Linked DNA regions of Tribolium castaneum. The protein of the gene in region 1 interacts with the protein of each later gene in a pairwise test. Links are inferred from orthologs where the notes say so. Each region holds a gene or a part of one and is shown in the gene's direction. Other genes may lie near its edges. The genes, in order: dnaJ protein homolog 1, BAG family molecular chaperone regulator 2 and Mlf.

What was found.
Region 2: the proteins of dnaJ protein homolog 1 (region 1) and BAG family molecular chaperone regulator 2 interact in a two-hybrid assay, tested with the Drosophila melanogaster proteins (2 studies listed by BioGRID). The link is inferred for Tribolium castaneum from reciprocal best matches to the Drosophila melanogaster genes DnaJ-1 and CG7945.
Region 3: the proteins of dnaJ protein homolog 1 (region 1) and Mlf interact in a two-hybrid assay, tested with the Drosophila melanogaster proteins (2 studies listed by BioGRID). The link is inferred for Tribolium castaneum from reciprocal best matches to the Drosophila melanogaster genes DnaJ-1 and Mlf.

What each region holds. Positions count from the first base shown.
Region 1 is NC_087398.1:15,603,538-15,606,736, forward strand, and holds dnaJ protein homolog 1, read left to right. Parts: upstream 1-1,326; 5' UTR 1,327-1,469; coding exon 1,470-2,504; 3' UTR 2,505-2,680; downstream 2,681-3,199.
Region 2 is NC_087396.1:11,144,838-11,147,873, reverse strand, and holds BAG family molecular chaperone regulator 2, read left to right. Parts: upstream 1-1,282; 5' UTR 1,283-1,464; coding exon 1,465-1,498; intron 1,499-1,574; coding exon 1,575-1,799; intron 1,800-1,846; coding exon 1,847-2,196; 3' UTR 2,197-2,400; downstream 2,401-3,036. Other genes in the region: hop (tyrosine-protein kinase hopscotch), read left to right, coding at 1-259, 314-483, 529-711, 760-895; beta-mannosidase, read right to left, coding at 2,405-2,659, 2,708-2,908.
Region 3 is NC_087399.1:9,872,924-9,877,141, reverse strand, and holds the start of Mlf (myeloid leukemia factor), read left to right. Parts: upstream 1-1,392; 5' UTR 1,393-1,505; coding exon 1,506-1,558; intron 1,559-1,663; coding exon 1,664-2,254; intron 2,255-2,354; coding exon of another isoform or gene 2,355-2,357; coding exon 2,358-2,444; intron 2,445-4,218.

The sequences.
Region 1 (3,199 bases):
AGCTATTATTTTTTTTTGAGGTGCATGAACAATTTATACCAACTAATTTTGTTTTCTGTTAATAAACTAATAAGCTGATAAGTTCATAAGCTGATAACAAAATATATGCCACATTTGTCTATCACGTCTAGTTTCTTAATATATTCACTAAAAGTTTAAAAAATTTGTTATTGGTGTCTAGTTTGGCATTCGTTGTTTCTGTCAAGTGAATGTAGATTAAGCCCGAACAACCTTTGTTCCCAACCTGGAAAACTTAAACGATGAAATTGTAATGTTTTCATCAAGATTTTAAAGTAAAAAGTTAAAAAGTAAAAAACAAGGTTTTTGGGTTAAAAAACTGACACTAATCTGTACAAAAAACGAAACAATCTGTGTCAATTTTAATTTTTCAAAAGTTTTGAATAAATTTTTTGGGGAGTCTCTGGCATTCGTTATTGACGTGATTAGCAAATTGTTAAATATTTTATTTGCTTTAAAATATCAACAGGTGATTGTAAATTAAGCCCAAAAAAATATTTTATTAGTTAGTGTTGAAAGTATCCTAACAAAACCTGGGAAGCTTAGGCGATGAACTTGGTGAATCTTACTATCAAGATCTATTATTTATTACTCTTTCCTGAAAATAGATTTTATGTAATCATGCAACCAGTAATACACTCACTAACTTTGGGGGGCGATGGTATAAAAACAAGCAAAACAAAACAAGCTTTCACATTCTGATGGTGTTGAGTGTGATGACGCATTTTTGCACGTGCTAATTTTTATTACTGGAAGACTTGGTTCTGGAACTTACCGTTCATTATAAACTTTTATTAATTTTTAAACAGGAAAATGATGGTTAACGCAGCGTATTATTCTTTTAACAGTGTAATTTAATGATTTCAAACAAAAGGAGCTAATGAAATGAACACTTTTGTCATTATTTACTAATACAATTCTTTTAATTTGCGAAAAAATACCGTAAAATAATTTTTGGTAAATTGGGAAAGAAACTAACAAGGCTTGCTCACTATAGTTATTAGTCATTTAACACAAATAAAACTGCAGAAATAAGAATTCATTTTTGTGTGAGACTGAGACACTTCTTATAAATAGAAATCATCAGTATTTTATTTAAGGATCCGACCACCTTTTTATAAATTTTGAATGTTAATGTGACGTGTAACAAAGAACTTCCTTTATTAATTTTGATCATTAAAATATATTTTTCTTTTTTTAATTTTCAACATGATAATTTTGAATTTATCCCTTCTGACACGTGCTGAGTCCAGAAATTTCCAGCCGCGTCCTCCAGCGGGGTGCGACAATTCCAGAATCTTCTAGAAATTCCTAACCTATATAAAGCATCGACGCGAGCGCTCGCGCACTCAATACGAAACGAACAATCACTACGTGTACACTAATTTATTCTCGAAGAAGCTTGTGATTTTAAGTTTGTGTGGACTTTTCGTGACATTAGTGCAGTGAAAATGGGAAAAGACTATTACCGAATCCTCGGCATATCAAAAGGAGCCAGTGACGACGAGATCAAGAAAGCCTACCGCAAACTCGCCCTCAAATACCACCCGGACAAGAACAAGTCCAAAGAGGCTGAAGAGCGCTTCAAGGAAGTGGCCGAGGCTTACGAAGTTCTTTCCGACAAGAAAAAACGCGACATCTACGACGCCTACGGCGAGGAGGGCCTCAAGGGGGGCATCCCCGGCGACTCTGGCACCTCAGCCCCCGGGGGCTTCACCTACACCTACCACGGAGACCCGCGCGCCACCTTCGCCCAGTTCTTCGGCAATGCGAGCCCCTTCGAAGCCTTCTTCAGAGGCAATCAGACCATGTTTGCGTACCAAGACGACGACATGGACTCCGATCCGTTTATTAACATCACGGGTGGGAGGGCTCCTGGGGGCGCCTTCCGCAGCCAGTCCTTCAACTTCCAGGGCAGCCCCCAGCGCGGGAAAGACAAGCAGGACCCCGCTATCGAGCACGACCTCTACGTCTCGCTGGAGGACATCGCCAAAGGCTGCACGAAGAAGATGAAGATTAGCAGGAAGGTGTTGCAAGCGGACGGCTCTACGAGGAGCGAAGACAAGGTTTTGACTATTAATGTGAAGCCGGGGTGGAAAGCGGGAACTAAGATCACCTTCCCCAGGGAAGGGGACCAAGGGCCAAATAAAATCCCGGCGGATATTGTGTTTATCATCAGGGATAAGTCGCATCCTTTGTTCAAACGTGAGGGAAGTGATATTAAATATGTGGCTAAGATTACGCTCAAGCAGGCTTTGTGCGGGTGTTCGATTGAAGTGCCAACCCTAACCGGCCAGAAAATCCCTATCCATTTCACCAACGAGGTTGTTAAACCCACAACAGTGAGGAGGTTGCAAGGTTACGGCTTGCCCCTACCCAAGGAACCTTCCAGAAGAGGAGATCTCATTGTCAATGTTGACATCAAGTTTCCAGAGAGGCTTTCACAATCTGCTAAGGACATTTTGTACGATACATTGCCTAACTAAACAGTTTGTTTATGTAATTGAATAAGTCAGGCTGTACGTTTTAGTACAAATTAGTTAAATTTAAGCTTTGTTAATTTAATCGACTTGTATGATGTTTATTGTATTATAAAGTAGCGTCGTGTGTGATATTTTATCTGTTATGAATTAGTAATAAACTCTTTTATTATTTTTTCTAATTTAATTTCTTTCATTTGAATCCCCTTGATCCGTCTGTCACTAGTAGCACAACCAGAACAGAACCCTTTGACTATAGGTAAGTGTCCCATACGCAGACATACACAGGCATACTCAGGTTATGACGTATTGGTGACGTACATATATCGATATATGGTCGAAGTGTATAACAAATCCCACAATATTCATAATGTTTTTAATTTTTACATTGCAATTGATTGCTTTTTGCGACTACTCAATTTAATTGTTTACGTTTTTATACCCATTTTCTTGTAACTTTTCCATCAGAACACCACCAGAACGTTTTATATTGATTTACTTAAAATAGTAATATGATTATGCAAATTAATGATCGGTTTGCAATTATTATTACAGGGCGCCCATTTTATCTGTTCCCGCCTTAAATATTGAAAACACGCAACTCATTATACAATTCAAAGTAAACTTGGATTTTTAGAATTTTGGTTTTTAGAATTAACGCATAGTTAACAGAGAACAACTACTGTCATCATAACGTTGAC
Region 2 (3,036 bases), on another chromosome or scaffold:
TGAACCGAGAATCGTGGCAATCAAAAAACTGAAATCGTCAACTGTGTCTGCGTGTTTGCAAGACTTCGAACGGGAAATTAACATTATGAAGACTTTGCAGCACCGGAATATTGTTGAAATTTTGGGGGTTTCCCGGGAACCGGATATTTCCCTAGTCATGGAGTTCGTCCATCATGGCTCTTTGCAGAGTTATTTGAAAATCAATCGAGAGTCGTTGCAAATTAAACAGTTGTTGAAATTCGCGCTTGACATTGCTGAGGTTTGTGGCCTTATTATTTAACCAACTTATCAAATAACATTTTTTATTGACTAGGGAATGAATTATTTGGGCAAGAAAAACATCGTCCATCGGGACTTAGCCACCCGGAATATTTTGGTAGCTGACGAAAACCACGTCAAAATCTCCGACTTTGGCTTAGCGCAAGTCATTGGCACTAATGACTATTACATCTTGAAAACAAACCGGGAATTGCCGATTAAATGGTAATTAGCGAAAAATCACGACTTGAATTACTTTGGTCTTGTTAGGTACGCGCCTGAAAGTTTACGAGACGGCAAGTTTTCCGTGCGTTCCGACGTTTGGTCGTACGGTGTCACAATGTGCGAAATGTTCAACTGGGGCGAAGAGCCGAAATTGTCGAATCTGGGAGAGGAGGAAGTCAGAGGTCAAGAGCAGCAAGTTCTCTTGAACGCCTTGGAGAGCGGGGCCAGGTATTGGTCCGTTGCTGACTTCGTTGGTTTTATCGTTGCCTTTTATAGATTTCCGTGTCCTCCAATGTGCCCACAAGCTGTCTATATACGGATTATATATCCGTGTTGGCACGCGGACCCCCACGAGCGGCCCGCGTTTAGCGTCCTCGTCCAGGAAACGCAAGACCTGCTAACGCAGTATTGAGTGATATTCAGTGCCCATGCAAGGGTGAGCACAGGAAAGAGCACCACTTTGTATAATCTTTTGTATTAAGTTATTCACAAACGCCTATTTAAGATCAAGTGTTAGATTTTAGTTTAAATAAGTACCTGTCGTTTTTATTATTTGCTCAATTTATTTGGAACAAGCACTTCTCGTGCCATTTCTCAGTGCAATCAACTTGTAAATATGTATATTCTATATTTTAAAATAAATGTTAATTTAAGGTTTTTTGCATCATTTCGCTGGACCATTTGTCTCTTTGAACAAATGGCCATTCGGTTTAAAAAAATGCGTTAAAAGCCGCGAATTAATAGCGATAAACATTGAATAATGGTAATGAAAGTACAATTAAGCAGATTTATGGTGTTTTGGGGCGTTTTTTATTGTATTGATTGCGTTTTTCGAGGCGGTTTCGAACTAGTGGGACTAAGGAGTAATGGAACTTTCTAGATTTTGAATCAAATGACCAATGAGTTGTTCCTGTGCTGAATCAAATTGATTTAAAATTATTAGATAAACTGGCGTCAACCAGCAACGATAGCTGCAACAGAATGGACATAGATCCATCTCCGAGTACTTCATCCGGTAATAAATCCTTCTTATCAATATGTTTTTAGGTTATGTCAAAATTTTTGTGTTTGACTAACAGCCCGAGTTTCAGGCTTCTTAATGGATCTGACGTACTCAGGATTGCCAAGGATCGATGAAAACAACACCGTGGATCCCAAATCGCCCAAAGAGCGGGTTTTAGAACTGTTAGATATCTTAGAAAGTCATGTTGAGAAGTTGCGGAGGGAAGCGGCGCAGTTGGAGGAGGACCGGGACCACTTGTTGTCATCCCTGGACTCGGTTAGAAACACTGATTTAATAGTCGACTTACCGGATAGTAAGTATACCAAAAGTAAAAGTCGTTCGTAATTAATTATTTGTAAGATGATAGGGATGATGTTTGCCAGTACGCTGAGCGCATCATGAGCCGCTGCCTCACGGTGGAAGTGAAGATTTTAACTCAGCGTGATAAGATGCAAGAAGAAGCCTTGCACCAAGTGAATCATTTGATAGACAGTCTTGTAATGTGTGTGAAATCGGATCCTGAAAGTGCAAAAGCTAGATGTATAACCTTCATGAATGCTTGTTCTTCGAATGTGGTGCACGGGATCACGGATAAAAAGTTCGAATCGGCTTTGTTAGGATGTACCGTTGACGACCAAAAACGGGTAAAGAAACGGCTTCAAGGTTTGTTAAATTACTTTGATAAACTTAATGTAACTTCGATTCCATAAACTTACTTAATAGTGCGTTGTTATTGATTGTGGCCCGCTTATTGCCATTATATACACATTAAATCGTTAGTATTTAACCAATTGAGTTGTCTTCATTACGGCTTTAATACAACACAGTCGTGTTAACTTAAAATAGCCACTGTGATTGTTTAAAAGACACTTTATTTATAATTGATGAATTAAATAAAATTATTAATTCATGTATTACTTATTTCCGTGAAATAAAATACTTAGGGTCTCTTAGATGAGTCACTGTAAGCGCTTGTTTCAAATCTTCGCTTGTTGTTGGTGAATCTGCTATAAAAGTGACTGTTGTAACAAGAGAGTGTTGAATAAAACCGTTTTCAAGAAAGTGGCCTTTAATATCGTGCGGGTCCAACCAAACGAAAAGACTAGGGGCGTCGGCTTTCACCCACACGTGGAAGCGCAAGCCTTTCGCGTCAATCATATCAACTGAAATAATCTAAAACAAAGCTAAAGCTCTTATCGGTTAATCCCCCGGAAAAATTACCTCAACATTGGAGTTTTTAAGTTTAGCTTCCTTAAATTTTGAAGGGAAAAAGTAATTAGACGGGGTCAAAACTGTGCCGTCTTTCCCACCAACAATATGCACAAAGCAGTTGTATTTTGCTACATCTGCAGCGCCACACCCGGAATCGGACAAAAATTGGTCCACATCGTATGATGCAACTAGTCTTGCCACCAAAGGCTCCTTCAAAATGCATTAATCACGACGTTTTCTCAATTTTAAAATTTCTCTCAAGGTCCGATTGGTTCGCAAATTCTAATTGTTTGGTCCAGGGTTTTACAAAAAAATTGGAAAACCTACTCGCTTATTTC
Region 3 (4,218 bases), on another chromosome or scaffold:
AGATTCTCTCACTTTTGAAAAATTGGTAAAGAGTACAATGATTCTGGTGTTCATCTGTAGTTTTACTGTGGTTATTGGTTATGAACAGATTCCATGGAACTTTCAAACCTGTGCTTCAATCACGTAAATAATAAATCGACACCAAAAACATTAAACAAAGGAGCCTCCAGACTGTTCAAAGTCGTCCACATTACGAAGCACGTCTGTGTAATAATACTAGAAACTCATTCAAACAAAATTTGATTAAGAAATGTAAAGTGGTAGGTATCAACTTCAAAGAGAAATTTCTAAGATACCAAATTTTCATTAAGTATTTCAGGTAGATTTAAACAATACGTCCTTGAAAATTCATTCTAAATTATTAGATTCCGCCCTAATGGGAAAGAATTTAAGACCGCTCTGCTTACACTGACCTTCGTTTCAGAAAATTTAATGCATCTAAATCTGGGAATTGTAGCGCATCGAAGTTTGGTGGACTTTTTATAGCCACTTATTTACAGCAACTATGTTATACAAAATTTAAATAATAAAGAGAAATTCAGGTTGTATTATTTCTATTTCTTAAGTAATATCGAGGTGTAAACCGTACCCCAAATTTTGTACACCTGTGATTTAATCATGATTCCTTCTGATTTTTCCCTAAATTTTTAAAGTGATTTCCTTAAAATTTCTTGATTTACTCAATTTTGTACACTGATTTCCTCTGCGGTTTACCTCTCGGGTAATATTGAAAACACTTACTTTTATTATTGCGAAAAATGTCTTGGTTTCATAGCAGTTGTTAATAGTGTTGAGGGAAAAAATTAAATTTAATTAAAAAAAAATAAATCGACCAATTTAAAATCTTGGAGTAATTAAATACGATAAACTGTAAAAACACTTAGAGAGGAGTTTATTAAAATTAGAAATGTAAGTATCACAATTTTTTTAAATCAAACAATTATTATTTTGAAACGTGTTTTTGGCTTTTTCGTTAAATACAAAGTTCAAATTCTTTTAAGGAATGAATTCACTGTTGAAGCGCCAGCACCTTCTTCGAAATGTCCATAAGAGTTGCTGTATTCTGCGCATTCTAAAAGCCTTTCTCATTGCAATGTTCAGTTGAATTTAGGGACGATCTGATTTATTTTTACGTGAGTGAAGCACAAGTTTGAAGGTTTCATGGTATCTGTACACATAAACTGTAATAACCAGGGTGAAATTATAGACGATCACCGAATTTATTGTTCTGATTCACCAATTTTTCAAACGTGAAAAAATCTTGACATTTTTGACGTACGTTTTTGAATTTTGATAGTGGAGCCATCTGTAGAGTGTATAATCGTTATTGTTGCCCTGTCAAGGTCCGTGTCGCTACTTTAGTATATCTACTGGCTTTGATTTTCCGAACGCCGCAGCGCCGCCTGGCGGCCGTTTCATTCCCCGCGCCAAGTGTCACTAGTGTCGTTCATTAGCAAAGTGTTTTGTGAATTATTGTTGAGAAAAGTGTTAAAACCTTTCAGAAAATGTCTCTCTTCGGCTCATTAATGGGCGATATTGAGGAGGATCCGTTTTTCGGGTGAGTTTCCGTCAGTCGCGCCGTGCAAATCGCCGCCAAAACCCCATAAACAATCCGCCATGCTGTTCTAGAAATCTGAACGAAAATTTTCATTTTAATTCCCAGATCTCACATGAATATGATGCGCCAAATGAACACAATGATGAATTCCTTCTTCTCGGACCCTTTTTCGATGGGTTTCGGTGATTTCGATCGCGGTCACCGCATGAGCAACTCTCTTATGCCTTTTTCAATGCCAATTATGCCAAATTTCAACCGGCTGTTGAGCGGCTCGTTGGACTCCCTGGGGGCGCACAGTTACAGTTCCAGCACCGTGGTTAGCATGTCTTCGGGGCCCGACGGCCGCCCCCAGGTGTACAAAGCCACGTCGAGCACGCGCACAGCTCCTGGGGGTATTAAAGAGACCCAAAAGACAGTCACTGACACACGGTCAGGGACCAAGAAAATGGCCATCGGGCACCACATCGGCGAACGGGCCCACATCATAGAAAAGGAGCAGAATATGCACACTGGGGACCGTGAGGAAAGGCAGGATTTTATCAATTTGGACGAGGAAGAGGCCGAGGATTTTAATAAAGAGTGGGAGACTAAGACTAGGAGTCGTTCGGAGATTCCCAGGATTTGTTCGGGGTCTGTGCGAAACCGACATGGGTATGGGGCTCCAGGAGGCATGCTGGCGATCACTGGAGGGCCTAGGTAAATTTTTTTGTTGGTTATTTAGTAGCACAAGGTGCTGGTTCACTCGCTTTGATGCACTTTTCCTCGTTTCAATGTTGTGTTAAATGTACGCATGTAGTAGACGTCGGCAAAGACAGTCAACCCCAATGGTCTCGCCTCGTAGAAGTATAAGATCGTCGCCGTTAACTGTGCCACAGGCGTCGGCTAGGTAGGTCAGCAAAATTTTCGGTGAATTTCGACAATAGCGGCTTATTGATTTGATCCAAAAAAATTACAAGACTTTGATTTTAGCGAAAACCAATATTGAATTTTTGTTGCCTATGATTTGACAATTTTATTTAAATGACAAGATTGAACAAATTCTTTAAGGGGGCGACTTACGTCCACAGTTTTCATAATTCGAACTAAATGGTTGATACAGAAATGTTTAATATTTTGTTTCACCACTAGATGGCATGAGTATGGTGAAATCGAAATTAAAGTCTCGAGTCACTAATTATCATTTTTTATTTTTCAAAAAAAAAAATTATTAAATTGATCTGTACGTGCAGATTTTTAAGCTTTGTGAGTTTGTGTTAAAAATTGGAAAATAACACCTCTGTTTACCAAACATAGGCCCGGTATTTCAGTTGATGGTTAAACTAAAAATATTCTGGTTACCAATTTTTTTCTTATTAATTCATTATTATTTATTTATATTATTATTATTATTTATATTATTTATTATCTTAGTATTTCAGTGCTTGGTTTACTGAATCAAGTACAAGAAATTAAGGGTGTACTTTCAAGTACTATAGGCAATTAAAAGTAGGCAAAATATACTAACGTTAGTGACATCGAAATTACTCTGATTTTTCGGATTTTTCCTTTCCGATTGATTCTTTGTTTTACGTAGTTACATAGTTCATAACAGCAAAATATTTCGCTAAAATTGAGCAAATTAGAAACATTCTTGAGTTTTTGAAATTCCCTTTTAAAAAACTACTTGATATGATCACACTGATGTGCAACTAAATCCTCCGTCACATAAAAATATTGCGAATATGAAGGTCTACACATTTCTCAAAATACAATATTTGTTGTGTTTTGACCTGAGCTGATAGAAATAAAAAAAATAAGAATTACCAGGAAATTATGCTAGAAGCTGGGATATGTTATTTAACATGTCTAAGAAATTATTTTTTGGATACTTAGATTTCTTTCCTGAAAATCTGAGTACAGTATCGTATAAAAGATTTATTACACTAATTTAAAAAACTAAAAAAAAACAAACGGAAAATGGTCAAAAATAATGCTAGTACGAAACTCGAACTGAAAATAAGAAAGGGAAGAAAAAACTATGAAGTAAATGTATTAGATTAATTTCAGAAAGTATCAAATGTATTACAGAAAGTTTTTGTATGTATATTGTATATATTATTTTATTATTTGTATATTTTACATAAAATTATAACTTACCTTATTTCTTGTCGATATACCAAAGTAAGTTATAAGTAAAACAAAAGATTTGTACAAGGTGGTTCGAAAGTATCAGGCCATCTCTTGGATAGTAATAAAAGAGATCTATCAGAGCTAAAAGTTCCTTTTCATGAGATATATTTTTTAAAAGTTAGATTTTTGAGCTAATTTTTTATCATTTTAGATCATGTTTTCTTGAATTTAGTTCGCAGAAATGGAATACTTTATACCATTAAGCTGATACTTGTTAAAGAAACCATACTTTTTAATAATTTTAATTTAATAAAAAAGGAGAATATAAATGATCTAGTTTCAAATTCCTTCAAACAGATTAATTGAATTTTTGAATTTTTTATTTGAGATGTATATTTAAAAGATAACTAGCCGAATTATAATGGCAGTTTTTAAGCTACAGAACAATTCTTGTGAAGCTAAATTGTATAAGTGAAATAAAATCTTAACTTAAGTCCTAATTTCAGGTTATAGCTGAAAAAAAAGGGAATAAATTTCACCATCGAACAAAT